Linked DNA regions of Danio rerio. The protein of the gene in region 1 binds, or shares a complex with, the protein of each later gene. Links are inferred from orthologs where the notes say so. Each region holds a gene or a part of one and is shown in the gene's direction. Other genes may lie near its edges.

Region 1 (5,265 bases):
CACCTCCATAGGATGGCGTCCAAAACAGATGCCCGAACCACCTCAGCTGACTTCTTTCGATGTGGAGGAGCAGCAGCTCTACTCTGACCACCTCCCGGGTGACAGAGCTCCTCACCCTGTCCATAAGGGTGCGCCCTGCCATCCTGTGAAGGAAACTCATTCCGGCCACTTGTATCCAATATCTTGTCCTTTTAGTCATGACCCAAAGCTCATGGCCATAGGTGAGGTGTACATTAATATAACACATATAAATAATGTTAGTTGGTGTGTTTGGGTGACCGTGTGATAACCCTGACTGTGAGAAGGGCTGCTTTTGATTTACCACCAATCATAACAGTTTACACTACAGGTTGCAGGGCTTTGGGTTATTCTTACATGTAGGTCTGCCTTGGCTTGACTTTGTGTGCCTAAAAAAACTGATGTTTGTTTGTTTGTCTGCTTTTGCCATCAAAACACACCGCCTGCAGAAGCGTGATGTGAGCTTTCAGTGCAGAAGTGTTGAAGAGTCTGAAATCTCCAACATTCAGCAGCTTTCAGATTTCTGCAAGCTGATGCTAGCAAAAGCAGCGTTCGCAGGTTAGCGCTGATCATGCAGTTGTTCGTCTAGACAGTATTTAAAGGCATAGTTCACCCAAAAATGAAAAGTCTGTCATCATTTACTCGTGCACCAAAACCAGTTTCTGTTAAGCACAAAAGAAGATATTTTGAAGAATGTTGGGCGCCGGTAACCATTGACTTCTATAGCAGGTAAAACTAATACAACCTTTACCTTATTAATTAGTAATAAACAGCGAATTAGTAGTTTATTAAGCTAGCAGTGTTAGTTAATGGTTTATTAATACCTTGAATTGTGACCTAAGCTAAAGTATTGCCCTAAACACTATATAAAATCTTTTCAATTTAGAAATAACTGTAATAAATTTTGCATTTAAAGGGATAGTTCACCCAAAAAAGGAAATTCTGTCATCATTTACGTGTTTCAAACATTTATTATGTTGAGCACAAATGAAGATATTTTGAAGAATGTTGGATATACCGGCAACCATTGACTTCCATAGTATTTGTTTTCAATGGAAGTCAGTGGATACAGGTTTTCAGCTTTCTGCAAAATATCTTCTATGGTAGAAAAAGATGGATAGAACAGTATAAGAAACCCATAAAGATTAATTAATCTTAAGGGAGAGTACATATGAGTAAGTTTTTTTTTTGGGGTGAACTGTCCCTTTATTAAGAAAGTAATAATGTGTAAAAAAAAAAAAAAAAGCTAAAGGTGAATATGATGGGAATTTCATATACTCTAGTATAGTGTTTCCCAACGGCACACCCAACAGTACAGTTTTTAACCTCTCTCTGATCAAACACACCTGAATCAACTCATCAGAACAAAAGAAGAGACTCCAAAACCTGAAGTTAATGGATCAGATAAAGGAGACATTCAAAATTGTTGGTGTGCCTTTAGGAACAGGGTTGGGAAACACTGCTCTAATAGTCTGAAATTGGATTTGTGAGAAAATATTCAATATTTCTCTTATATTTCACCCCATAATAAAAAGAAATCACCCTGTTCTCATGAATGTAATGTCAAAAAATGACACATAAATTTATGATAGCTTGTAGTTTTCAGGTGAATTGCTTGCTAATGGTTTCTACACTAATGTTTGCACACTTTTAAAAGATTGTTACTTGTAAACATTGTGTTAATTTAAATAAATATTTAACCTTTAAAATGTCGAAGTGTTGCATAATTTACAATATTTTATACCCCTCAGTCAAACCTCATAATCACCAAAAACATTATAGACTATTATAGAAGGGGAAGAGAAACTTTATTTATTTATTTATTTATTTGAGGAGTACGAGGCTGACATTAAAATCCAAGGACTCTAATAAACTGATTTATATTTAAGAAATAATAATAAAGTAGCCTTGTGCCAAAACTACTAATTAATAAACAGTTTATGCTTAAAACAATATGCAAGTGTATAGTTCATAACTTAAAAGTCTAAAAAATAAATTGGAAGTCATGTTAAATGAAAAAAAGCGAGGGCAAGGCTGAAATCCTTACCCTTAACAACATAATTACAAATTTAATAATTAAAGACACACTTGAATAAACTATTTTATAAGGATATGCAATGTCATCTGTAACGTGAATGATGTTTTATACTAATATTTACAATGGATAGAATTAATAATGCGAGAGAAACCTACATGACTGATATATGTTGTACAGCTTAAGGCTTTAGATCTTTGTCCTGTTTTACTGTTTTTATTGATTGTGAAAATTATGTTTGTTATTATTTTAGTGACTGATTATTAGCATTTAGCATTTCAGCGGCTGGTGACATGACAAAGCGCGCGAGCAGGTCTTGTTACCATGGCAGCATCAAACTTTCCCGAGGAACAGAAAGTGTGAGTCGACATTTAGAAGTCACTTAATTAATTAACGTTCAACGTTTTCTTTAACTAAGATTCGTCTTTTATTTTGCGTTCATATACTAAAAAGCTACATTTATTCGAGGACAAAGGTAAAAATGACGTCGTGAAAGAAAGTCGTCCATACAGGCAGCAGTGATGAGGTAACGTCATCTGTATTATTTCATGCGTATTTATCCAAGATATTTGTTTTATATCTGTCAGTTTTAGCAGTATGTCTCGGAGTCAGTCTTCTCAGAGATCCGGGGTCATGAACTCCGCTTCTGACGGCCAAAAAAGGCGCAGTATCATCGCGGAGGATCATGAGTGGTCGCTGGCGCTGGTTCCTCTGCTAACAACACTCTGTTTACAGCATATTATAAAACACTTCGAAGGTAAAAAACCCACACAAGTCTGTCAGTTAGTTTACACTCTCATAATCACCGTAAGGATTACAAATAAGCCTTACATGCACTCAGAATTGTCAGAGTAGCATGTATTTAAGTTACTAAATGAGCATTTAGGTAACGTTAATGCTTGTTATTATTATTTTTTTATATTATTATAAAGTAGTGCTTTCAAACAGCTTGTTAATGGAGACAAGGTTTTAGTAAATATTTTTGTAAATATTAATAATTTCTTTAATATCTTTGCCACAATAAAGTGCAAATTAATGTTGTTAACTTTAATTTACAGTTAAAGTTTACAAATATATATATATATATATATATATATATATATATATATATATATATATATATATATATATATATATATATGTATAATATCTGTTTGTGTGTGTGTGTGTGTGTATATGAGCAATTCCATGCAAATGACAAAAAAATTTTCGCCAAAATATCGAAACTTTTGTGTAAGCAAGTATTTTACATTGGTTTAAAAATACTCAAAAATGTCTCTGTCAATGTTTTCAAACTATTATATTTGATTTGCCAAATCACACATTACATACTTTGTAAAAATTCTGTAAATTAAACTGCACAAGCCAAAAGAAACAATGCTAATCAAAAGTATAAGAGTCGGCTCACTACAAAACAAACATGATTGATTTTATTCGATTTTACGTTATGGATTTGACATCTGTCTGTTATGGATGTGACAGATGTGAAATTGCCACTTGTGCGATTTTGGTAAATCAAATACAATTGTTTGAAAATACTGACAGAGTATTGAGTATTTTTAAAGCACTGTAAAATACTTGCTTACCCAAAAAAAAAAAAAAAATTATATATATATATATATATATATATATATATATATATATATATATATATATACATATATATATATATATATACATATATATATATATATATATATATATATATACATATATATATATACATATATATATATATATATATATATATATATATATATATATATATATATATATATATATATACATATATACATATATATATATATATATATATATATATATATATATATATATATATATATATATATATATATATATACATATATTAATCCAGAAGAACAAACAAAAAGCGATGAGGGGTAATTCAAATATTTGGTCGGTGCTCTTTGGATAAGGGATTCATCAAAACAACAACAAGAATTAGTCCAAGGCACTCGAGAAATATATATATATACATACAGTCAAGCTTAAAATTATTCATACCCCTGGCAAATTCTAACTTAAATTTACTTGATTTCAACAATGAAGTTGTTTTATTGACCATAAATGACACAGGCTTCTCCTAAAAGATAATGAGAAAAAGTACAAGAGGCATTATTGTGGAAGAAAATATTTCTCAGATTTATTTACATTTGAAAAAACCTTAAAGCTGTGGTCACACTGCACTTTTCACCCGATATACTTACAAAACGTGACTTCTCTGCACAGAAATTAAATATATGGAGCAATCACTTAATCAATACTTTATTAGTGTCTAATCGTCTTGTTTAATCCCGCCCCTTTTCACATCACCGTACAACAGAACTTCGTCAGCTCAAACTCTAGTGTGACCAAGGCCTAAATGAGAGTTTGCCTGGGGTATGAGTAATTTTTTTAAATCAAAGAAACTCATAAGCTCATAAATAATAAATAGTAATAAAATTGGCATTTTCGTGTGAACTATCCCTTTAATATTTTTTGCAGAGAAGCCCATTCTGCATGAGCTCCAACCCAGCTTTAAAACATACGTCCTCCAACGACTGCCAGCATCTCTTCCGTTGACCATCACTGCAAACCTTATTAGCGATGAGAGCTACTGGAAACGCTGCTGTGAAGCTCGCTGGGGACTCGCTGACATCTCCACGTATGATAACAGCTGGAAACAAATGTTCTTCGAGCGTCACCTTCAGAGCATCATTGAACTCTTTATACCAGACACAACTGACACCAAAACAGTGCTAGATGTGCTGCCTTTGTGTCAAAACTATGTCAAGCAGCTGCGGGTTTCTCAGCTGCTGCCGCCCATTAAAGAGCCGTCCCGGTTTGACGAGGACGACGGGTCAGAGTCTGCCAGTGATATGGGCAGTGATGGACCCTCCATGGACCACTTTGATTTCCGAATGCTGCTGGACAAGCTGCCGAATCTGAAAGAGCTGAGCGTGGTTTATTGCGTGAAAGGATGTGGCATGAACTTTGAGTGGAATCTGTTCGAGTTCACCTTCAGAGACTGCGAATCCCTGGCTAAAGCACTCAATTCCTGCAAGACTTTACAGGTTTTTAGAATCATGTTATTGGCAATAGGGTATACATTTACATTTAGTCATTTAGCAGACGCTTTTATCCAAAGCGACTTACAAATGGGGACAAGGAAGCAATTAACACAACTATAAGAGCAACAATTAATAAGTGCT
Region 2 (3,913 bases), on another chromosome or scaffold:
GGTGAGTAAACACTGTTTATATTTTTCCAGGACGCATTCGTGGAGAACCTGAACGGCGCTCAGCTCTTCCACAGCATGTTTGCAGATGATCCTGATGCTGAGAAACTGGCTCTGCTGCCGGGAGTAGACGCGCTGCTGGAGGAATATCCTTATCCCATATATAAACAAACAAAACACACACACACACACACATAACTGCTTAAAAGCAAAGGAAGAGTTATTACAACCTAAAAGACTCCTCTCGCTCACCATTTCTGTTTGATGTCAAAACTGACAGCTGGAGGGGGCGTGGTTAAGAATGTTAGCCCCTCCCAATATCTCAAACAGACCTAATCTGAGAATTTTACAAACAGGAAGTGAATTTGCATATTTAAATTTAAGATTACAAGGGCAAACAGGATTTGAGTTCATGCGTACATTAAGAACACCAAGCAATCGCCTCTCCTTGACAGTCACGTGGCTCTACGTTTAGGAGCAGAATGGAGGCTGTGTGTATGCAGATGTTTGAGGCAGGGTTGTCTCAGTATTCTCGGAGGTCTGCGGAGGTGGAGTCTTTCTTCAGCTGTTCTCGAGAAGCCGTCGCTGAAAACAAGCAGAAAGCGGCACAGATCGCAGCCGACTTCGAGAGCTTCAGGAGACTGGTCAGTTTAGAAATGAGGCTTTTTTATTCATTCATTCATTCATTCATTCATTCATTCATTCATTCATTCATTTATTTATTTATTTATTTATTTATTTATTTATTTATTATTATTTTTTATTTATCATTTATCTATTTATTTGTTTATTTATCATTTATTTATTTATTTGTTTGTTTGTTTGTTTATTTATCATTTATTTATCATTTATTTATTTATTTATCATTTATTTATTTTTCTTATTTCTTTATTTATCATTTATTTATTTATCATTTATTTATTTATCATTTATCTATTTATTTATTTATTTGTTTATTTATTTATTTATTTATTTATTTATTTATCATTTATTTATTTATCATTTATCTATTTATTTATTTATTTATTTTGTTTATTTATTTATTTATCATTTATCTATTTAACATTTATTTATTTATTTATCATTTATTTATTTATGTATCATTTATTTATTATTTCTTTATCATTTATTTATCATTTATCTATTTAACATTTATTTATTTATGTATCATTTATTTATTATTTGTTTGTCATTTATTTATCATTTATATATTTATCATTTATTTATTTATGTATCATTTATTTATTATTTGTTTGTCATTTATTTATCATTTATTTATTTATTTATTTATTGAGTTTTGTTTTCAGAAATGGCGGGTCAAAATGAAGTGAGTTTTCCCTTTTAAAATGCAGAATAACCTGTAGATGTTGCCTGATGCTGTGTGTTGCAGAAGACAGCAGAGATGCATCAGATCCAGGATGCTGTTCAGCTGGAAACACACCTGAGCGTCTGCCGTCAGCAGCTCACACACACCTCTGAACAGCTCATGAGTCTGGAGCTGCAGCTGGTGGACCAACTGGAGGTCAGACGAGAAACACACACACACACATTCAGTCATATGAATCAAACATTACCTACAGGTGCTGATACAGTCAACTCAGCTGCACTGAATAAAGGGTGGAACTGTCTGCAATTTAGGGTGGGGCTATCAGTGATTTAGGGGAGGGATATCAGTAATTTAGGAGAGGGATATTTGTAATTTAGGGGGCGGGGCTATCTGTAGTTTAGGGTGGAGCTATCAGTGACTTAGGGGAGGGATATAAGTAATTTAGGGCGGCACTATCTGTGATTTAGAGTAGAGCTATCAGTGATTTAGGGGAGGGATACTAGTAATTTAGGGCGGGGCTATCTGTGGTTTAGAGCTGGGAGATCAATAGTTTAGGGTGGAGCTATCAGTGATTTAGGGGAGGAATATAAGTTATTTGGGGCGGGGCTCTCTGTAATTTAGGGTGGAGCTATCAGTGAATTAGGGGAGGGATATTAGTAATTTAGAGTGGGGCTATCTGTGATTTAGGGCGGAGCTTTTAATAATTTAGAGTGAAGCTATCAGTGATTTAGGGGAGGGATATTAGTAAATTAGGGCGGGGCTATCAGTGACTTAGGGAAGGGACATTAGTAATTTAGGGCGGGGCTATCTGTAATTTAGGGTGGAGCTATTAGTGATTTAGGGAAGGGATATTAGTAATTTAGGGCGGGGCTATCAGTAATTTAGGGCGGAGCTATCAGTGATTTAAGGGAAGGATTTTAGTAATTTAGGGCAGGGCTATCAGTAATTTAGGGCGGAGCTATCAGTGATTTAAGGGAAGGATTTTAGTAATTTAGGGCGGGGCTATCAGTAATTTAGGGCGGAGCTATCAGTGATTTAAGGGAAGGATTTTAGTAATTTAGGGCAGGGCTATCAGTAATTTTGGGGAGTGATAATAGTAATTTAGGGCGGGGCTATCAGTAATTTAGGGGAGTGATAATAGTAATTTAGGGCGGGGCTATCAGTAATTTAGGGCAGAGCTATCAGTGATTTAAGGGAAGGATTTTAGTAATTTAGGGCAGGGCTATCAGTAATTTTGGGGAGTGATAATAGTAATTTAGGGCGGGGCTATCAGTAATTTAGGCTTGAGCTATTAGTTATTTAGGACGGGTGTATCAGTGCTTTAGGGCGGAGCTATCAGTGCTTTAGGGCGGAGCTAACAGTGCTTTAGGGCGGAGGTAACAGTGCTTTAGGTAAGGATATCAGTGCTTTAGGTGGAGGATCTTTTGTGGCAGTAGGTTGTTAATTGTGTTTAAAACGGTTTGCTTATTTAGTGTGAAAAGGTCTTAAACTAGAGCTCCTAGACATGAGAATTCATTTAAGAACTTTTGTGGTACAAAATCTTTATTTCAAAGGATGTAGATATGGATTATTAATGCAAAATTCTACATAGACCATATCATATCACTGACAACTAACAGAAGTTTCCAAATCTGTGTTTAAAGGACGTCTACAAAGAGTTTGAGAGGAATATCTCCGAGATGTTGGGAGGCTTCGTTGAGTTTGTGCAGGGGATATATCCTTCATCAGCCACGTCTATATGAATATAAAAGCATATTTCTCCTGTATAAGAGCGTCTTCTTTAACCGTCCACCTCACGTTTGCGCAGTGCAGAGATCTGGAGAACCAGCACCATGAACAGCAGCTGGAGATCGGCCTGGAAACACTGGAGAAAGTCCTCAAGAATGAGCTTGAAGAGGAGATCCCGGATGATCTGGCCATGGTGAGGGGGAACAGGCTCAATTATGCAGATTTGTGTTGATCTCTTATGAATATTGATGAGATGCTAATTAACTCAGGGTTGGTTCGAGTGCTGGAAATCCATGAAAATAGTGTGTTTACTAGGCTTAAATGTTGGATAAAGTGCCTGAATATATAACTGTATTACTGAATGTATATGAGAGTTATTAATTTACTGTATATTTTATTACATGTGTGTGTTTTATACATAGTTTTAATAACTAATAACAGTGTGTGTGTGTGTGTGTCTGTGTATTGTTAATTATTTTATGTTTTGTGTGTGTGTGTGTGTGTGTGTGTGTGTGTGTGTGTGTGTGTGTGTGTGTGTGTGTGTGTGTGTGTGTGTGTGTGTTGATGATTATGTTCTGTGCTGAAGCTGTTAGTAGATAAAGACACATTGATCAACGCAGCGAACGCTTCACACGACACACACCTGATGAAGATCGATAACAGAGAAGACGTGCTGCGCACGCACACAGACAGCTGGATTAAACATCTGAAAACAGAGGTCAGTCAAACACACTCTACTTAAACATTAACACACTTTATAACATCATTTATTGCATTATATTTAGTGCTGGATGCAGATTAATGAATTAAATGCATACAAAAATTTTTTGTTATATATATACAAAATAATAATACACACAA
Region 3 (5,291 bases), on another chromosome or scaffold:
TGCATCTCAGAATATTACACTGCACCAAAAATGTAAAAATATATATTTAATATATTTTTGTCCACAGCAGACGGCAACTTGCCATGACGCAGATTCCGGAGTCTGAGTGCTCCAATCAGGTGAGCCCTCTTCAGCGCTCGCCATGACAACGAGACAACAGTGACGTGCCTTGTAAAAATGTGTATATGGATTTCTATAAAGCTCGTGTGCTCTCAGTCAGCATTGTCAGTTCGCCCGATGTTGCTGTTTGTACTTGACCAAGGTGAGTTCAATACCGACGGTACGAGTGGAGCCACGCCAATCTCACAAAGTCTGCTTCGTGAAGCTTCACCCGGGCCCGTCTGTGCTGTAGTTCCTTGCGGTTTGCGTACATAAACGCAATATCGCGAAGAACATTACGTGTTTGTTGCTCGAAATGTGCCGCCGAGCAACATCCAGTGAATACTGGCACGGCCTGGCGCCCGGTCTTCTCGTGCACTCCCTGGGGCGAGGCGGCCTTTGAGCCCTAGGCAGGGAGCAAACAACCACCGAGGACCCTCAGGGAAACACGGGGGGCCGGTAGTGGGACCTCGCTGCGAGGGTTATGGTGGGTGGGAGTAGCGAGGCCCACTCATCTTCTATTTTAAACCATAGTTTCAAACTTTAGTTTACTATATAGTTTGAAATAGAAACCATGGTAACTGTTATGATTTAACTTTATGCAAAGAGCTTACAATGACCAAGAGCAACAGACCCGGATTCCGCCATTTTGAAGTGATAGCGATCGCTCGTCATTGCTGTCGCGATGGAAAGCAGCTGCTTTGTTTTTATTTAATTTATTCAAAAAGCGCGTTATTGTTTCCCAAATTGTAGATTGTCGCCTCATGGTAATTCTATGCTCTTCTGTGTCTGACTGTTGTGATGTTTTGCTTTGTTTTTCAGCTGAGATTTTGAGCAAAGAAGGACTATTGAAGACAACAGTTGAAGACAACCGCGGGTTATAATCACGAGCGCGCGCATTATAATGTTTTCGGGCTGTTTTCTGAAAGTGTGTCTTTGTTTAGATAAGTTTGCATGTCAAACTAAATAAACTATACTCTTTCTAAACACCTGTCTCGTTTTATTTGTCCTCTACAGCAATGCACTGTCATATAGGTCTGTTGAATGCATTTGTATGCAACATGGTTTGACAATACAGTAGTCTAACAAATAAATAGTTGTTATAAATGTACCTTCATTAGTCAACATTTGATGTTATGTTATGATTGTTATACTATATTTATTATTATTAATATGCTGTATGTTTAAAACCAGCAAATTATACTATATATTTAACATGTCATAAACTTACTGTTATTTTAACATTTGCCAAATAAAATGTCCTAAGACAAGAATGGGTGTTGTTTTGGTTTTGTGTCAACCTACTGTAGGTTTTAGGTTGACTACAGCAAGGCTACATACATCATAGGGAGTTTTTTTATAACGGAATAAATATTTCACGGAGATGATTTTACTGCGTGAGAAAACTGATGTGTGGCGTGAGAGCGTGAGAATACGGTCAATTGCGTGACTTTCACGCATTTTGGCAACTCTGAAATATTAGTGTTTGGACTATGTGATTATTTATTACTATAGCAGGTACTATTTAGCCTATATATTCTCCTGGATTGTATAAGTGCTTCTGATTTTTATTTAACACTGACATATTTATACACATAGGTAATTTAGACATGTACTCTTTATTGGTGCTTTCAAACGAATAATCGCGTTCATGCTTGTACAAAGGATGTATAAAAATGTTCCTTACATTCTTCCTTTTCTTCTGTTTTTTTAGTCAGTACTGAACTTTCCCCTTTTGTGAGCAAAAACTTTTGCTAGTCTATAAAAGATGTTCGGCATTTCTTATTTTGGTCGATTTAAACAATCATAAACAGCATAAACAGAAACATTTTTTTAAACTTCTGAAAGCGGTTCCTACGTAGAAGAACCACTTCCTGCCCTCCGTCTGAATGGCGAGTGTGTTCAGGTTACCTAGCAACCAGGGTTTTAGACATGGCGGACAAGTATAATGCAGGTAAAGATGCTACACGTAAAATGCTACGCTTTTTTTACGTTTGTGGGCTTACTGTATGCTTATTAATGGTGTTTGTATTCTCAGCATGACGTGTTTTTAAATACAGTTGCCATTACTACGACTGTTACCAGATCAATGATGTTTGAAAAGTTTTCAGTAACGTTGTTTGTTAACGTCGAGTAGTTAAAGTAACAGTAAAAGACCACACAGACAGCGAACATCTACAGCTGAATTGCTTTGTAAACACACACACACAAAATAAAATAAAAATGCGGAAAAACACAACGTTAATTAATGTATTTTTTATCAGAAAATATTATAATAGAAACTCAAAAGAGGATTGGGAATGCCTTTGATGTATTTGACCATGAATCCAACAAGACTGTTGATGTCAGGTAACGTTTCACTACGCTGTTTTTCAAAATATATTAGACCATTTGTTGATGTCTGTTAGCTTTGTTCTGCACATGTTCTACAAACAAGGAAGACTTCTTTAATGTTATCTGTCATTTTTCACCGTAAAAGGGAAATAGGCACCATCATTCGTTCACTTGGCTGTTTTCCTTCAGAAGCTGAATTGCATGATATCATCTCTGAGGTCAGTGGTTTTGTTTTGCCGGGTCATAAAATGCATCGCTCTTGTAAGTTGAGTAGATCAATAGTTATGAAGTGTCATTTCATTCACAGCTAGAAGAAGAAGAACCCACTGGATTTGTGCGCTATGAGAAGTTTCTTCCAACTATGACTAAGATCCTGCTGGAGCGCAAGTAAGACTGTAATGAAATAAAACAGTATGAAACCCAGATTATTCTTAATGTTTTTAAAAGGTCACAGACTGATAAATCACACAAATGCATCTATATATTTATATACAGTCTAACTCAAAATTATTAGCTGTCCTGTAAATAATTTTTTCTTACTCAGTTATTTTTAAATTGATATTCAACAGAGCAAGGATTTTTTTTTTCTTCTAGCAAAAGTCTTATTTGTTTTATTTTGGCTAAAATAATGGTCTTTAATAAAAAAAAAACATTTTAAGGTCAATATTATTAGCCCCCTTTAGCAATATTTATTTTCGATTATCTAGAAAACAAACCATTATTATACAATGACTTGCCTAAATACCCTAACCTGCCTAATTACCTTAATTAATGTAGTTAAGCCTTTAAATGTCACGTTAAGTTGAATACTAGTATGTTGAAAATCATCATCATGGCAAAGATAAAATAAATCAGTTTGATGTGTCAAATGAGTTATTATAACTATTATGTTTAGAAATGTGTTGAAAAAATTCTTTTCGTTACAGAAATTGGGGAAAACATTTACAACGGGGCTAATAGTTCAGGAGGGCTAATTATTCTGATTTCAACTGTACATGGATATATAGTGCTAGAAGATGAAGCCAAAATGTCCAAGGTATCAACTTGCACGGATCGTATAATTCCCACAGTTCCTACACACCCAATTGCAAGCACATAATGGCATGCATCCAAATAAAAGCAAACTTATTAAAAAATGTTCCGTATATACATCAACAATTGATGTAACGAGAAAACAAGGCGACACAGTGGCGCAGTGGGTAGCACTGTCAGCAAGAAGGTCATTGTTTAAAGCTCTGGCTGGGTCAGTTGGCATTTTTGTGTGGAGTTTGCATGTTTTCCCTGTATTGGCGTGGGTTTCCTCCTAGTGCTCCGGTTTCCCGCACAGTCCGAAGACATGTGGTATAGGTGAATTGAATGAACTAAATTGGCCGTAGTGTATGTGTGTGAATGAGTGTGTGTGGATGTTTCTCAGCACTGGGTTGCAGCTGGAAGGGCATCCGCTGCATTAAACACATCCTGGATAAGTTGGCGGTTCATTCTGCTGTGGCGATAAAAAATAAAGGGACTTAGCCGAAAAGAATGAATAAATAAGAAAACATTAATTAAACGCTTACCTTCTCTTCGATAACATTGAGGGAGCAGGGCTTTTTAAAATGTTCTGCAATCAATGACCAGAGAGCAATGGAAATATTTGGATTTCCCTTTTTCTATATTTGGCCTGTGTGAGCCAAAATCTCACTAATAAAATGTGTTGTCGTGTCTAAAGCAGACAAATGTTTTGCCTCTACATGTAGATGTGCTGGGGGTGGATTTAAACAATATGCAAGTTAATCGGCCGCTCAGGGCCCCAGTTAATCTGAGGGCTCCCAAATAAATACCTAGAATTATAAATTATACATATAAATATTATATATAACATTGCTTTCTATCATATTTTCCCCTACCTTCAATCATGGACCAGTTCAGCTGTCAAATCAGTAAAGATTTAGTTTTAAAAAACGAAATTGTTTATTTATAGTGAATTTATCTTAAGAAAACAAATGATTTAAAAAGTTTTATAAGGTGCTTTACATGTTATTATTATTTTGCATTAAGATAAAATGTAGAAAAGGAGATTGATTGATATAAGAAATAACAGCAAAATAATAATAAAAAAATTAAAGTACAAAAGGTGCCTTTTAGAACTTTTGGGTCTAATGGCTGGAACAGCTTAGGGCCCCAAAATCACTAAATCCATCCCTGAGACGTACAGTATATGACTATAAGTGTTTTAACATAATTTGCAGTACCTGTAAAAACTTAAAACTAAAATAAAATAAACATTTGATTAAATAAATATTTACTTTGCTAAAGTTTTTCCCACAATAAAATTTAATACAAAGCCTAGTATTAGTGATAATTGTAGCTCTGCTTCTTTCTTTTTTCTTGCAGGTTTCGTCCTATTACAGAAGACCTGCTCATACAGGCTTTTGAGGTGAGGCTGTTTTGTTTTTTAATTTTTAATGTGTGAATTTACCTTGTTAACATGTGAAACTTTTAGCAGTGTCAAAGACACTATGCAAGACACCTAAGACCAGTGCATTGATTTAATGGACTGTACTTTAATCTAATCTTAAAGGTTTTAGATCAACAGAAAAAAGGACACCTGGAACCAGCAGAACTGGCCAAATACTTAACACAAGAAGGTGAGACTATAACAAAGTGTTGTCCTGGATTTTAAGATTCTTCCAATATTTTGTAATTGCACATGTGCAGTGCTCTTTGTCTTTGCTGGATTACTATAATTCTTTATATTTGAGTATAAGCGGGTCTTCTTTGGCTCCCCTGAAGTTGGTGCAGCACATCTTTTGACAGGGAGTCGCAAATTTGTTCACATCACTCTCATTTTATCTTCCCTTCTCTTGCTGCCTGTACAA
Region 4 (4,925 bases), on another chromosome or scaffold:
AAGCAGCAGCAAACTCGCAGAAAGGACAAGATTTTTCTCCTGAGATGGTGTCTGGCTTTCAGGTCAGAAATTTCATTGGTTGAGTTCAAGATCAAGATATTTTTTTTATTTTATTTATGCTCCCCTGACATTAATAGATGCAGACCCTTTAGACTGTTTAACAGAAATATGTTCAATCAGTCACATGGCAGCAACTCAAATAGATCTTGTGTGTGTGTCTACTTACATTAGTGCATTGAAATCCAACACTTCAGAAACTGTATATTCAGTTCAAACTGGTAATGGTGTGTATAGAGGTGGTAAATATTTTCTTTTTGCAATTTGGGCCCTTTATTCACCAACAATATTCAGGTCAACTGTGTGATTTAAACTAAACTCAATTGGTACCATCAATACCTTGAAATCGAGTGAGTGGTCTTTAAGCCTTTTCCTGGAGACCCTTTCCTACAGAGCTACAACCTTTATCAATAACACCTTATTAAGGCCTTCAAGATTATTTGGAAGTTAAAGGTGATAAGGGCCAGCGTTGAGAATCCCCAGTTTATAAATGGTTTAATAGATTGTTCATTTTGCATCTTCAGGTTGATCCTTTTGCAAAACCCTACAACGACTTGCAGCTTTACAAAATTCTTTTGGAACTGATGAGAGATGAGGAGAATGTTGAACTTCAAATCAGAAATTCAGAAAAAGAGGTATTACAGTTCGAGCATGGCAAAACATTTGTCTCGACTCTTATGAGGACTTAAATCTTTTTTCTTCTTTTAAAGGTCAAGTCCATCCTTTCTTCAAGAGAAAAGGAGGACAGTAATACTGATCTGCTGATCTCCATCTACAACACTACAAGAAACGAGACTGCTCGTCGGCACATGGAGGAAAAGGTGAATCAGGGCTTTGATCAGCCAGTTGCTTTTGTCAAACTAACCCATAATATCACTTACCCCTGGTTCTTGTCATTCCTCAGGAACGTAAGGCTAAGGAAAAGCAGAAGCGGCAGAAAGAGAAAGAGCTCGACCTCTTGGCTCCTTTCCAGGCCCGACTAGAACAAACAGAATCCCTCACTCTCAAGGACGCACTTCAGCTGAAGAGAGACTGTTTGACAGAATTTAAACAACAACTCGCCAACAAAGCTAACCTCATCCAGGGCAGATTCGAAAAGGCATGTTCATTTGACCCAGACAATTTACCACTTTCTATAGGTTCTGAAGGTCCTCTGTCCTGCAGATTTCAGCTCCTGTCTGGAAATCTCACGTATTCCTAGTAAGACCTTAATTAGCTTGTCCAGTGTTTGATTAAGGTTGGACCGAAACACTGCAGGACACTACCCCTCTAGTATCAAATGTGGTCACCCCTGCCCTTGCCAAACACACCTGGCGTCAAGCAGAAGAGTATGCAAAACCACTCCTTGTCATTAGATGGCGCTACACAACTATTAGCTTCCAACACCCGTTTATAACACAGAAGAGGAAGAGAGGAAGTTCACGAGCTTGTTGTTAAAGTTACTGGTGACTTGAACAAGCATGGATGGTTCAAGCAGCAGCTCCAGCTTGTTCATATCGCCTCGGGGCATCTTCTTCAACGTGCGCTCGTATTGACAGTTTTGCGCTTGAGCGCCTCCAAGTGCTGTTTACAGTAACTTCAGCAGCTCCGTGCACGTGAACAAAAAAGCCAACCTGATTGGTGAAGAGGGTTTTGACGCAGCGCATCAAAAAAAAAAAAAAAACAGGCATGAGGCATTTATTTATTTTTTTAAATTACGCTTTTGCGCCTGACGTTTCGCGCGTTGGTGTGCACGATCACATTGACGCCCTTTATTTAGTCACGAGGCGTTAAACGTCGACAGAAAACGCAAGCAAAAAACGTATCGGTGTGAACGGGCCTTAAGACTGCTACCCCCGTCCCAGATAGGCGGATTAAAATTAGATGAGATGTTTGATTAGAAATTAAAGAAAAAAATTTTCCTATTTCTGGGAACGCACCACCTTGCATGAGTTTTTGGTGCACATTGTTCAGTTCATGGAGTTAACGAGTTGATAATCTGCATGTCTGTCTAATTTAATAGACCTTATTCAAAGTTTGCAGGGAGGTGGGTCCTCATAAGGGCCCTCTAGTATCAGGGGCCTGTTTGCACAAATTCTGGGTTTAACATACCATGAGGTTGGCTCAGCTGCTCCATAATACCATGACGAAGAGTGATTAAAGTTCAGCCGTCTATTTGTTACAATAAAACCAAAGATTGGTGCAAACTACACTGAAAATTTAACTAGCTAGGCAGCTAATTCAGCTTCATGGTACAAGCCGCCAAATATGGCCACCTCTGGCTTACAAAGTACATAAATGGTATAAAAAAAAACTATAAAGTTTAAAAATAGAAGGCAAAACACAATTTTACTGACTTAGATTTTTACATGTGGTGTCCCTTTAATGGAATATACTCTAAGCCAAATATTGGCTAGATCTCATTGATCATCTAACATGGTCTTGGTAGATCAGGGTAAACAGAGTTGACTTGGTTTAAGTTCATTTGATTAAGACAAATAAATAAGTGCATTGTTGGGGGACAAGGTTGAGAATGTCTGTTTTCAGACACTTCCTCCAGTGAACACAGGGTAGATCATCTTTCTGAAATCAGACAACAGTCTCACATTGCATGGATAGGTTAGAAATGGTTTGAAAAACATGGTAAATTCAAAGGTAGTCTGGGCCTCCAAATTCCCCACATCCCAATCCAGTTGTGCATCTGTGGGATGTGCTGGACCATCAAGTTTAAATTACATTCCGTCTACCTGCAACCTAAAGGTCTTGTGGAATCTCGTTCCAAATATTTTGCAAGAGCACGTAGACAACCAACAAAAAAGTATGGACTTCGAAGGCGTCTTGAAGGATCTGTCACAGCAGGGTGCCAACAAGACATCAAAATGTTGATTATGATGATTCGGCCCAATAGTACTTGATAAGTTTACTTCTTGCTGGCAAAAGGGGCAGAATAACCTCAACTTTTTCTTGTTCAGGAGACAGAAGAGCTACAGAAGAAACAGCTGTGGTACCAGAAGAACCAGCTCACTATGAGCACAGAAGACGAGGAAGACTACTTCAAATACTGCTCTGAAGCCATGTTCAGGATCCATGTTCTCAAACTGAGACTTAGTCGGTAAGCGTTGAATTACTGATCAATGCATTTATGATGGGTGCCCAAACTCTGTCCTGGAAGGCCTGGATAGTGTCCTGCATAGTTTGCCTCTAATTTCCTTCAACACCTCTGCCTGGGAGTTTCTAGTATACCCAGAAAGAGCGTAATTAGCAAGATTAGGTGTGTTTAACTGGGGTTGGAAATAAATATGAAGTACACCAGACCTCCACGATTGGGTTTGGGCACCTCTTATGACAAGATATTTTTTAGATTAACTTTGTCAAAAGGTTAATGCTAACTGATGATAATGTACAGTTTTGCTTTAAATTTAAATAAGCTTGTACATTTTTGCTTTAGAACTGATCAGTAAATGTGTCTTTTTCTAGACAGAAAGAGAGAGCGCCTCAGAGATATCTGGCACTGGAAGAGACACTAAAAAGACATCCAAAGTTGGCTACGGACTCTTGATTCAAGATGAGTACTTGCATTGAAATCTGGAGACAGCATTATGTAACATCTATTACTCTAACACAGGGGTGTCCAAACTCAGTCCTGGAGGGCCGGGGTCCTGCTGAGTTTAGCTCCAACTGGCTTAAACACATCTGCCAGAAAGTTTCTAGCATATATAGTAAGAGCTTGATTAGCTGGTTCAGGTGTGTTTGGTTAGGGTTGGAACTAAACTCTCCAGGACATCGGCCCCCCAGGACCAAGTTTGGACACACCTTGCTCTAACATATGACCCAAATAAATGTTTTCATTGCATAATTGATCAGATTGACATATGTAATTATGGATTTGGCAGATTTTGACAACTCTGTATGAGAACAATAGAAAACATATGCAATCGTACACTAGACTTGGTCATTTTTGCACCGCAGAGCTCCCTAGAAAGTACACATTCAAAACATCAGTGTATAGTTTGTTAAATTATATTAAAAAAGTCTTTATTGCCATGTTCACTATAGATTATACACGTAAAACCTAATCGCAACACTTCAACACTAATCCCAGTCCGATGATACAAAAACAAAACGCGTCGATGACCAACATTCCACTTCAGAATGCTGGAAATATTATTCAAAAGAAAAACTAAAAATTAACAGCCTTTAATAATGCAAACTTTATTTACAGAAAAAGAAAGATCCAGTACTTCATGCCATGCTCCTTAAAAGAAAGGAATCGATCCTTCACAAAAAGTTATGAGAGAGTTAGAGAGTAAAGGCAGAAAGAAAACAGCAAATCTGGCGAACCATGTTGAACAGAGAGAAGTTGAGAGTTGAGTGAGAGTGACATTAATTTAGATTTCTCTAAAATGTCTATTAAAAAAAAACAAACGAGCTTCAGTTACACTTATTACAGCATTCTGCACAAGAAAAACTGTACACGGAAAACCCTAAATGACACGTAAAAGCGTGGTGTTAGCCACCGTATGTACAAAAAACAACTGTGCACAATACTAACATACAGGAAATGCTGACTTAGTATTATACAATGTAGACGGACTGAGTTATTTATTAGTTTTTATTTCACACATCCTATTTCGCATAACCGTAACCTATGTATGCGCTTACCCTGAAGAAACAGTGGGATGTGTTTTTTTTTTTGGATGGAGTGGACCTACTGGCGGTTGCTCTTGATCCTCTCCAGCCTCTTCTTGAGGTCGTCCAGGTTGGAGGCGGGTGAGGAGGAGCGCGTGGGGCTATGCGAATGCGACTGCTCCTGCTGGAAGTGCTCGCGGGACTCCTTCAGCTGGGATAGTTTGCTGTGAAGCATGTCTGTGGAGGAGGCGACTGACGGT
Region 5 (5,184 bases), on another chromosome or scaffold:
GGGGTAAGCTTAAATGAGTAATGAAACAGTGATAGAAGTACAGCTCCATGGCCAGGGGGTTATTTGGTGGTTAGAAAGACCCTCCTCAATGACAAAGGTCCAAAGTTAGTTTGTCCAATGAGCTCATTTGTCCTATTTTGACTGCTTCACCATCATAAATTCTAAAAAAAAAAAATAACCAATTGAAAAAGGCTTTAAGACTAAGTGGAATCCTCTGTTGACCGTCACATCAGTGTGACTTCAGCTAATCAGTTTTGTTCAAGGCAAACTATTATTTTTCAACATCCAGCTGTGCAAGAAAACACAATCTGACATAAGAGAAGTCATCCTTTACTACTGGATTGTTTTTAAATAGAGAAAACATTTTACTTGTAACTTTTATTCTGAATCTTGTAACAAATATTCTTGAAATAAAAATAGCCAAAGCACTAAAATACTAATTTGGCTATCCATTAATTTTTAATCACATGTACTTTTTACAAGAGAGGCAAGACAAATCATGAAACCCTTTTATTATTATTATATTTTATCTTTTTATTTTTCAAACAGCCAAATTCTGACTGAGGAAAGTTGAATGTGCTGGCCAATTTGTTACATAAGTGACAATAGACAACAGTTTTTGTTTAAAACTTTAACAGATTTTTAAAAAATTATAATGAAATATGATGTAATAAATTTGAATATTAAAAATAAATATTTATTCATATTTCTTTATTCTAAATCTTTAGCAAATATTTTGGTAGCCTACTTTAAAAATTGTAGTTATAATGACCAGCCGACAAGCTAATCCAGCTAAAACGCAGCCTTACACTATCCCTGCTATAAAAAAAAAAACAAAAAAAAACCTAGCATACTGGTAAGGTATGTATTGTTGCTGGTATGCAGGTCTTGCTGATTTTAATGCTGGTCTTGCTGGTTTCAATGCTGGTTTTTACTGGTCTCGATGCTGGTATTGCTGGTTTTAATGCTGGTTTTGCTGGTCTCGATGCTGCTCTTGGTGTTTTTAATGCTGGTTTTTGCTGGTCTCGATCCTGGTCTTGCTGGGTTTAATGCTGGTATTGCTTGTTTCAATGCTAGTTTTGCTGGTCTCGATGCTGGTCTTGCCAGTCTCGATGCTGGTTTTGCTGGTCTCGATGCTGGTCTTGCTGGTTTCAATGCTGGTTTTGCTGGTCTCGCTGGTTTTCATGCTGGTCTTGCTGGTTTTAATGCTGGTCTCGATGCTGGTTTTGCTGGTTTCAATACTGATTTTGCTGGTCTCAATGTTGGTTTCAGCAAGACCAGCATCGAGATCAGCAAAACAAGCATCCATACCAGCAAAACCAGCATTGAAACCTGCAATACTAAATATGTCTTTATAAGCATATGTTACAACTAAAACTCTGTCTGTCACAACTTGCCCCACAGGTGGGGTAAATAGTATTTTTTACTCCTGGCACTTTTGGCAATGCACATACGTCCGGCGATCATACAACCAGTGCTCATTTGTAGGAGAGGCTTGTGTGTTGTTGGTTAAAAATATGGTTTGTCTAACCATATATTTTATATTTGGCCAAAACCAAAAAGTGTTACACGTCCCCCGCTCTCCCCATACCACATGTTTTTGGACTTATGGGGGAACCCGGAGCACCCAAAAAACACACTTACGAAAACACAGGGAGAACATGCAAACTCCACATAGAAACGCCAACTGACCCAGCCGAAGCTCGAACAAACAAACTTCTCGCTGTGAGGCGAACTACCCACTGTGCCACCGTGCAGCCCAAAACTGAGTATTGTAGACAAATCTACTGATTATAAATCTTAAAAGGGTTACCTATAAAAATACCTAGAAGTCCTGAACATTACCAATGAACAGCATGTTTAAGATAAAGAAAAACAAAATAAGTCAAAATGTCAAAATAAGTCAGTTTTGTCAATAAACCACCTTCTAGCAGACAAAAAATGCATGGAAAACTGGTCAAAACATGATGTTCATGAACGTAAATTAATTCAGTCTGTTGTAAGAACAGCCAGCAAACGGAGCGGATCTGTGTGTACAAGACGTGCTGTCATGACGACGGACGCTGTTGCTACAGCTGCACGTGTAGCGTCTTCTTCACGGCTGATTTGCCTCTTTGTTTAGAAGGATTAAAAGAAAGAAACCTTTTAATTTTATTTATATATTTATCTAAATTTCTATATAGCCCAAATCAGCAGTATGACGTCCGTGGAGGAGCTCAGAGCGTGTGCTTTGCTGCAGGATTGCGCTGATCAGCTGTCAGTGTTAGGAAATATTATACGCCCCGGAGCGGAGACTGTGAGTAACAACATCAAATTTAGGACATTTAGTAATCTGCTTCCTGCTACATTTGCTCGGTTATGCCCGATATGCTTGTTAAATTATGTTTTATATTTAGTGTCATGGCCAATAATTATTGGTGAATTAAACAAAGTTAGGATTTGTTGGTTGATAGGCTATTATATGATGTTGTTGCGTTAAACATTATTTTAAACAGTTTCAAGTCATGAAATTATTTTTAGTAGGGTAGAGCGGGGCACAAAGTAACACTTTTTGGTTTTGGTCAAATAATTGGTCAAATTCACAGCTGTCACATCCATAACGACACTTTTTTCTCATAATGCAAAAATGTCAAATAAAATAAAATCAATTCAATAGTTAGCCGACTCATATCCGTTTGATTATCATTGTTTCTTTTGGGTTGTGCAGTTTAATTAACAGAATTTCTACAAAGTCTTATGAAGACTAAACTCCCAAACATACTAAACTCTCATATATATATATATATATATATATATATATATATATATATATATATATATATATATATAGCACATTATGAGGAGGTAGCACTGGTGATCATTTAACCAGTGCTCATTTCTAGGTGAGGCGTGTGTGTTAAAAAAAAATCAAAAAAATTATATGTATATATATATAGTGCTGTAAAAAGCTAATGCGTGTACATGTAATTTGTGCATGTGTTTAAATGTGACATTCTGTAGTGCATAGTTATTGTCCAGTATGCCCACAACGTCATAAAAAAATTATATTATGTTTGATTTAGGTTGTGATGTCAGGTGACCAAAATTCTATGTCTTGCCAGTGTCTAAGGACGTTATTTTGATATCCAATAATGACGTCAAATGACGTTGATATTTTATCGATTGTAGCTTGTTAGAAAGAGACCAAAATCCACAGCTGAGCCAACATCTTAAACCAAAGTCATATTAACGTCAAATACTGACATTTATTCATCAGGTATGGCAACCAAAATCCAACGTCTGTGTCACCGACTCGGTCCCAGTCATTCCCCTCGCTGACCAGCAGAGGTCACCATCTCCGGACTTCTAACCATTACGTCATCCATTCACCCTGATCCCAGCACACCTGTTCTCCATTCCACTAATGACCCACGTACCACATATAAGCAGCTCACACACACACTTCAGTGCGAAGTCTTGTTTAGCCCCGGCCAGCATTTCTGAGCGTTCTATCCTGCCTGATCTCCCGTTTACCACTTCAGCCCGTTTCACGACTCTGCTCTGTCTTCTGCCTGCCCTCGACCAAAGCCTGTTTCCTCGGACTCTGATTCTCGCTGCCTGCCCTCGACCAAAGCCTGTTACATGGACTCTGAATCACGCTGCCTGCCTCTGACCCAAGCCTGGTAATCACTCTGCGTCTGTTATCTGCTAAACCTCCTTTGATGTGTATGTTGTATGTCCGCACAGCCGTGCGAGTTGTTGATGTTTAAGTGTGACTTAATAAATACTGCAAAATGGATCCCTCCATGTCAGTCTCCCCGTTACAGAAGACTTCGCCCAACACGGATCCCGCAGCCATCCAGGTTTTGTCTCACGAAGTCACAGCACAAGCTCAGGTATTGTCTACTTACCAACAACAACTAACACATCTAACTCAGTTAACAGACGAACTGGTGAAATCCCTACAAAACCTGCAAGCTGCTGCCACTGCGCAACCCACCGCCAACTACTCTCCAAGTCCACTTGTTGTTGCACAACCCCCGATGACTTCCGGAGTTCGATTGGCATTCCCTGACAAGTTCTCAGGTAACCCAGCAAAATGTAAAGGCTTCCTACTGCAATGTAAACTGTTTATCGCCCAACAGCCCCATCTGTTTAAGGACGAGAATGGGAAAATTGCTTTTGTGTGCTCACTGCTCACTGTAAAAGCGCTAGACTGGGCTACTGCAGTTTGGCCAGACAGTACCCCGATATTTCCCTCGTTTAATGACTTTCTCAAACGTTTCTGCACTGTGTTTGATCATCCGGAGGGTGGTCGCAACGCTGGCGAGGAGCTACTGTGCATCCAACAGGGAGATCGCTCCGCAGCTGAGTTCGCACTGCAGTTCCGCACCTTGGCAGCGCAAACTGGCTGGGCTGATGATCCGCTTACCACGCTCTACAGAACGGCTTTAAAACCAGAATTGCAGAAAGAGATGGCATGTCGTGACGAGGGAAAAACACTGGATCAACTAATCAAACTTTCTATAAGGTTAGACACTCTCCTCCGCACTCGCAATCCACTGTGCTCAATTGCTTCCAGTCCTGTATCCCCTGAGACCTCCGCTGAACCCATGCAATTGGGTAGAACCCGCCTGAACCCAGAGGAGCGAGAACGACGGAGAAGAAATCACCTGTGCATTTATTGCGGACTTCCAGGTCATACGAAGGTTTTATGTCCCCACAAGCCTCTCCCTAAAACCGTCTCGGTGAGTGCAACCACTATGTTCACTACCACTAATAATGTTATGAATTTGCCTGTCATTCTGAGAAACAATGGAGATGAAATTGAGACTATGGCCATGATCGATTCAGGAGCCGCTGGCAACTTTATTGATTACACGTTTGCCACCACTCACTCCATTCCCTTAACCTCCTGTGATTCCTCCATCGCCATCACTGCTGTAGACGGGCGCCCTTTGGGAGAGGGACACATAAAATTCCAGACTCAACCAATCTCTCTTCAAACAGGCTCTCTCCATGAAGAAGAGATTTCCCTTCTTGCCATCGAGTCCCCCAAGCACTCTGTAATTCTTGGGTTACCATGGCTACAACAACATGACCCTCAAGTCTCCTGGAGAACTGGTGAGATCACAAAATGGAGCAATCAATGCTTTACCCAATGTCTGCATTCTGTTTCCCCTGTCCAGATCAACACAATTACCA
Region 6 (5,207 bases), on another chromosome or scaffold:
CTTGAAATGCTGGCGATCTTAATTTTTTCAGCCTACACTGACTGAGAATAATGTTGCACTATTTTATTAACAAATAATTAGAATGTTTTTTTTTTTCCTTCAACACATTCATCATTACTTTTGCCTGTGCAAGTTTTTTGCACGCGCTTGAGCGCAAAGGCATCTATTTTCAGGTGCAAGATGCCACTTTGGGTGGCACCAGCACACTCTGCCACACCTGTGGCTATGTCTCTGCTACAATAATAATAACAACAATAACGACAAAATAATAATAAAAAATAATAATAATAAGACAGGCCTACTTTGACGTTGCAATAAAAAAGTATTAATTATCAAATAAATATTTACAATAGGCTAAAGGCATATATTAAATTAAAATAGGAGAAAATCCAATAGAAACAAATGGTACCATTTATTATAGCCCCATGCAGGGTCCAATGTGTTCTTACAACCATTGAATAACTAAGTAAATAATAATAATAACAATACTAATAATAATAGGCCTAATAATAATAATAATAATAATAATAATAATAATAATAAATTATTATTTTATACAGAGTAGGCTATTATTTAGGCCTACAATAGCTCTGAAACAATCATGTAAACTAGGTGCTGCTCGGAAATGGCTATCTTTGCTCAGCATCAGGTGCACAGCAGCAAGAAGCTTGGCAGTGAACTATGACCTTATTTTAATGACAAATGTCTAAGAATACTGCTGATTTACGTTTTTATTTAATTTATACATACGCAATGAATGTAAGCCTGCTAACTGTGTGTGGTTCAAATGATAGAATATGTAAACTTTGTTTATATATATAATTAAATAATAATAATTAAAAGCCTGCGTGTAAGGCTTTTATTTTGAGAGTGACGTCACGAGCGCAGATTTGGTTAACCAATTAGAGGAAAGTGGGCGTTTCAGCACCGCCTACATGTGTAAAAAGAATTTTAAAGTCGTTTATCCGTTTTCCTACCCTAAACCAAAAAAACGAAAAACCCAGCCAAAATCTCGTTTTTTCGTTTTCTCGTGAGCAAAAGAAAAACGGAAAAACGTCCGTTTTCTCCATTTCCTTTATTCCGTTTGAAAATGAAAAACAAATGAACAAAACGTACACGGACCTACACGGACCTTTTAAGCACTAGCTTTATTTTTGTCATTGTTATCCTATTGTACTTTTAATTTTATATTTTCCATTTTTACTTTTAAGTTGTAGTTGAAGTATTAATAATTTTAATTTGTACATTTTTTATTTATCTGTTTTTTATGCCTATATAGCTTGTCTTTATTTTAGTTTATGTTAGTTGAATTAGCAATTAGCTAAATTTTTCTTTTTTAAATATTTCTCAAATGATGTTGAACAGAGCAAGGAAATTTTCACAGTATGTCTGATAATATTTTTTTCTTCTAGAGGAAGTCTTTGTTTTATGTTGGCAAGAATAATATCAGCTTAGAATTTTTTTAAAAGCCATTTTAAGGTAAAATTATACTATAATCATCCTATCTGTCTGTCTATCTATCTATCTATCTATCTATCTATCTATCTATCTATCTATCTATCTATCTATCTATCTATCTATCTATCTATCTATCTATCTATCTATCTATCTATCTATCTATCTATCTATCTATCTATCTATCTATCTGTCTATCTGTCTGTCTGTCTGTCTGTCTATCTATTTATCTATAAACTGTTATAAAAAAAATATTATAAAAGTGTGTTATACAATTGCTTAAGAAAACTTTCTTTAATAAAAGTATATACATTTATTGTTCTGTGTTTATTGTAGTTTACTTTTGGGGTTATTTCATGTGACCAACCAATTGTTCAGGTAACCAAGTAACATGAAAGGTAAATGTTGACAAAAGTGTCTCAGGTTATTGTTACACTGACAGCAGGAAATCATCTACCATTCACAGTGACTCTCTCACCGCTTTTATAATGGCATTTTTGCAAGATTCAGATGCGATTTTTAGAGACTACATTATTAAACATTCACTACCTCAGATTTACAAGGTGATTTAGGTTTGTTTTTAAAATAATTTTAGTTTATTTTAAGTTGTAACTTTATTGATTTTACATTTGAAAAAATATTTTATTTCATATTTCAATGTATTTAAAAAATATTTTAAAAATTTAACTGTATTTTGATTTGAAGTGGTTCTTGTTGTTGTAGTTATTGTTGTATATATATTATTCCATTTTATCTAGGCTTTACTTTCTGGCTTATGTGTCTCATGTCCTGAAGATCCTTTACACTTTATGGAGGAAAAAATACTATCAATCCTACAGGATCAAGATTTTGAGATTGTCTGGTATGTTGGCTTCTTTATATATTTGTTTCATTAAACTATAAATAAATTGTGCCTTTTTATTGCAAAATCAAGTTCAGGTTAATATTCCTAAACATGTTTTTTTTTATATATTTCAGGCACACATTTATTGACAAAGACAAACAAATCTCCTCATTGGCAGGAGGCATTGTGAATTATATTTTTGGATATCCAGAAGACAGCCTGGTAAAACTCTCTTTGTATGTTTTTATTCAGAGTGAATGTTTATAAGCATAAACTCATTTCATTTTCCTCCCTCATAGAATCTGTCACATTTGCTGGAGAAAGCTTACACTTGTTACCACACCAATCTGACCAAAATGTGTTTCACGTAAGTCTTTAAAGTACAGAATAAATTATTTAAAAGTCAGCTCTTTTAATATCTTGTCTTTTCATATTAAAGGGGTTGGAAGAGTTACATCTGGCAGAAAAAGATGAAGGCTGCCCGGCTCCTTGAAAGAATGGAGGAGGCTGAGATGTATCACACACAGAGAAGGATAAAACTGGCTTTCATAAAGTGGACAGCATGGGTTCAGTTTCAGAAACAGCGATGGAAAGGTATTTAGCTTTCATGGTCTATAATACAAACAGATGATATTGGAGATACTTTAAATATTTCAGAAATCCCAGTCAAATTTAGTTATACATGTGCCCCTGGATGCTTGATTCTGATTCCTTGAATATTGTGAATTGAAAACGGGAAAACTCACCTATGAAATTGTACAATAATTATGTAATCTGTAAAAAAAATAATAATTCCGGTTATGAACATTTTAAATTATAATAAATAATAATAATTGCAAGTCATTTTTGGAGAAAGATTAAGTAATCCAGATAAAATGTAACCCATTACTGTCAGCAGGTACTGTTTATTACAGGCCCGCTAAAAGCACATGTTGGATTGTCAGAACACTATTATATATTTTGTACTTATGTACTTACATTATGCCAAAAGTTTTGTTTAATGTTCAAATAATAATAATAATAATATTTGACATCATAAACCCTTCATTTTTGAAAACTTGATGATTACACACACGATCACGACATCCGCAAACTAAGCCTTTGTTTGTTGTGAATGGACGCCCTCTAGAGCGGAGAAAATTACTTAATGTGCCTTTGAATGCTTGATCATAATTGGCTATAAATTGTGAATCAGTGAGACTGAGATGTTGAGGTAAGTTTCAAAAAAGTCTTTATAAACCTAAAAGATCAGAATAAACTGGAGGTTTCTTAGACTTTTTTTTCAGTGTGTTGATGTACAGTACTTCCAATTTAATCTAAAAGCAGGTACTGAGTAGAGGGCAGTGCTTTTTATTCCCTCATAGCAAACTAATGGTAGAGGGGCATGGTTAAGAATGTTGTGGCTGAAGCCATCATTCTGACATCAACAGAGAAAGACCCCCCCCTCCAAAAATCAATGCAAATGGTCAGATTTGGACTGAAGATTTGTTAAAGTACTAGCACTCTACTTGTTGTAATGATATAATCACTGAAGGGTTTGACATTTTGATTCAGTGTATTACTGTACTTTAATGATGACGTCATGTTTTTTTTTTACATGCTTTACGTTTCCATGTTATACTGTTGTTGTTTTTTTTATAAGGAAGTTTTACCATCTCATGTTCATACTGTACAGAGAGAGCACGTGAAGGTCAGAAATAAAAAGGCACTGCTAAAAACGATTCATTCTGTCTAATGATTAATCTACGCACTCAAAGCTCAACAAGATTACTCAAACAAACTTTTTTTTCAGTGGATTAATTGTTTACCCAAAGAATTACAATGTGCGATATGCAAAACAAACATTGTAAATTTTGATTTCACTCAGACTCAGAAAGCATACATCCATAAAAAGGCCTCAAGGTACAACACTGTGTTCTTAACAACTTTAATAAGTTAAAGAATTATAGCATTTTTCAATTTTTTTTGTCATGGGTTTCTCAATGCAACTCTCTGATTGATTTTCTGATTAAAAAATAAAATAAATAAATAAAAATGCTGAATTTATATGAATAAATGGATTCAACAAAAGGTAAAATTAGCAAACTAAAATATTCCGGAAGTCAAGGACAGCTCTTTCAGCTTATCTTCCTTTGTAGAGGATGAATAAATAATGGCAATAATGGCAGAATTTTGTTTTCTTTTTGGTACATTTAAATACATTTAAATCTCACAGTACTTCACTTCATAAGCTCTAAAATAACATTTTGCAAATAAAGTAGCAACAGAGACTTGGGATGAAATGCAAAATCTAGTGTCAAAAGACGGACACATATCTTGAAATAAAATCAGCACAATGTCTTTAGTAACCATTGTATAAGTGGAGTTATTTGTAATATATGTTACAATAAAGTTAGTAACTACACTGAAAAAAAAATTTAATCATTGGATTTACTGAATTGTTTTAAGGTAACTGGTTTAAACAATTTATATGGGCTCATTTTAAGCAAACAAATTAAGTTGAACATTACTAAATGTAATTTGTTTGTTTAAATTCTGCCCATATGCTTTTTTTTTACTAGTTTGCATGTTACCATATAAATTTAGTGTGTTATTATTTCTGTTCTCTCTATATATCATGAAACAAGGCATTCTTTAATTTATCTAGATGCAGAGAGGAAACTACAGAAGGTTCAAGAGTCTGTACACTGCAGAAAAATCATCACGGCTTGGCGTCATGTTGTGCAGGACGCTAAAAGAACAAAGGAATACTTTAAGGTATAATTATTAAAACAATCAGCTAAACCCAAATGCATTGAATTCATGAGATATTCAGCTATTATACATGTCTGTTCAGAAACTAGAAAGAGATATGAAGGAAAGCCAGAACTCAGGCATACCACAGGGTGATGGACAGGACAATCTGTCA

Evidence for each region.
Region 2: drc5 (region 1) and drc3 share a complex: the UniProt entries of both Homo sapiens proteins name them as parts of the nexin-dynein regulatory complex. The link is inferred for Danio rerio from reciprocal best matches to the Homo sapiens genes DRC5 and DRC3.
Region 3: drc5 (region 1) and drc8 share a complex: the UniProt entries of both Homo sapiens proteins name them as parts of the nexin-dynein regulatory complex. The link is inferred for Danio rerio from reciprocal best matches to the Homo sapiens genes DRC5 and DRC8.
Region 4: drc5 (region 1) and ccdc135 share a complex: the UniProt entries of both Homo sapiens proteins name them as parts of the nexin-dynein regulatory complex. The link is inferred for Danio rerio from reciprocal best matches to the Homo sapiens genes DRC5 and DRC7.
Region 5: drc5 (region 1) and drc9 share a complex: the UniProt entries of both Homo sapiens proteins name them as parts of the nexin-dynein regulatory complex. The link is inferred for Danio rerio from reciprocal best matches to the Homo sapiens genes DRC5 and DRC9.
Region 6: drc5 (region 1) and fbxl13 share a complex: the UniProt entries of both Homo sapiens proteins name them as parts of the nexin-dynein regulatory complex. The link is inferred for Danio rerio from reciprocal best matches to the Homo sapiens genes DRC5 and FBXL13.

What each region holds. Positions count from the first base shown.
Region 1 is NC_133195.1:54,629,664-54,634,928, reverse strand, and holds the start of drc5 (dynein regulatory complex subunit 5), read left to right. Parts: upstream 1-2,102; 5' UTR 2,103-2,377; coding exon 2,378-2,412; exon of another isoform or gene 2,413-2,574; coding exon of another isoform or gene 2,575-2,579; intron 2,580-2,640; coding exon 2,641-2,810; intron 2,811-4,558; coding exon 4,559-5,127; exon of another isoform or gene 5,128-5,265. UniProt on the Homo sapiens protein: Component of the nexin-dynein regulatory complex (N-DRC) a key regulator of ciliary/flagellar motility which maintains the alignment and integrity of the distal axoneme and regulates microtubule sliding in motile axonemes.
Region 2 is NC_133178.1:67,120,645-67,124,557, forward strand, and holds part of drc3 (dynein regulatory complex subunit 3), read left to right. Parts: intron 1-30; coding exon 31-143; intron 144-466; coding exon 467-641; intron 642-1,387; coding exon 1,388-1,519; intron 1,520-2,967; coding exon 2,968-3,038; intron 3,039-3,121; coding exon 3,122-3,245; intron 3,246-3,638; coding exon 3,639-3,770; intron 3,771-3,913. UniProt on the Homo sapiens protein: Component of the nexin-dynein regulatory complex (N-DRC) a key regulator of ciliary/flagellar motility which maintains the alignment and integrity of the distal axoneme and regulates microtubule sliding in motile axonemes.
Region 3 is NC_133192.1:12,696,128-12,701,418, forward strand, and holds the start of drc8 (dynein regulatory complex protein 8), read left to right. Parts: upstream 1-2,015; 5' UTR 2,016-2,031; coding exon 2,032-2,053; intron 2,054-2,363; coding exon 2,364-2,448; intron 2,449-2,578; coding exon 2,579-2,651; intron 2,652-2,740; coding exon 2,741-2,820; intron 2,821-4,806; coding exon 4,807-4,849; intron 4,850-4,993; coding exon 4,994-5,060; intron 5,061-5,291. UniProt on the Homo sapiens protein: Component of the nexin-dynein regulatory complex (N-DRC), a key regulator of ciliary/flagellar motility which maintains the alignment and integrity of the distal axoneme and regulates microtubule sliding in motile axonemes.
Region 4 is NC_133200.1:14,672,184-14,677,108, forward strand, and holds the end of ccdc135 (dynein regulatory complex subunit 7), read left to right. Parts: coding exon 1-62; intron 63-581; coding exon 582-692; intron 693-767; coding exon 768-878; intron 879-961; coding exon 962-1,156; intron 1,157-3,008; coding exon 3,009-3,148; intron 3,149-3,513; coding exon 3,514-3,595; 3' UTR 3,596-3,896; downstream 3,897-4,925. UniProt on the Homo sapiens protein: Component of the nexin-dynein regulatory complex (N-DRC) a key regulator of ciliary/flagellar motility which maintains the alignment and integrity of the distal axoneme and regulates microtubule sliding in motile axonemes.
Region 5 is NC_133193.1:29,337,462-29,342,645, reverse strand, and holds the start of drc9 (dynein regulatory complex protein 9), read left to right. Parts: upstream 1-2,057; 5' UTR 2,058-2,197; coding exon 2,198-2,296; intron 2,297-5,184. UniProt on the Homo sapiens protein: Component of the nexin-dynein regulatory complex (N-DRC), a key regulator of ciliary/flagellar motility which maintains the alignment and integrity of the distal axoneme and regulates microtubule sliding in motile axonemes.
Region 6 is NC_133200.1:19,760,732-19,765,938, reverse strand, and holds the start of fbxl13 (F-box and leucine-rich repeat protein 13), read left to right. Parts: upstream 1-1,890; 5' UTR 1,891-1,943; coding exon 1,944-2,018; intron 2,019-2,213; coding exon 2,214-2,317; intron 2,318-2,433; coding exon 2,434-2,521; intron 2,522-2,598; coding exon 2,599-2,666; intron 2,667-2,738; coding exon 2,739-2,893; intron 2,894-4,946; coding exon 4,947-5,056; intron 5,057-5,135; coding exon 5,136-5,207. UniProt on the Homo sapiens protein: Substrate-recognition component of the SCF (SKP1-CUL1-F-box protein)-type E3 ubiquitin ligase complex.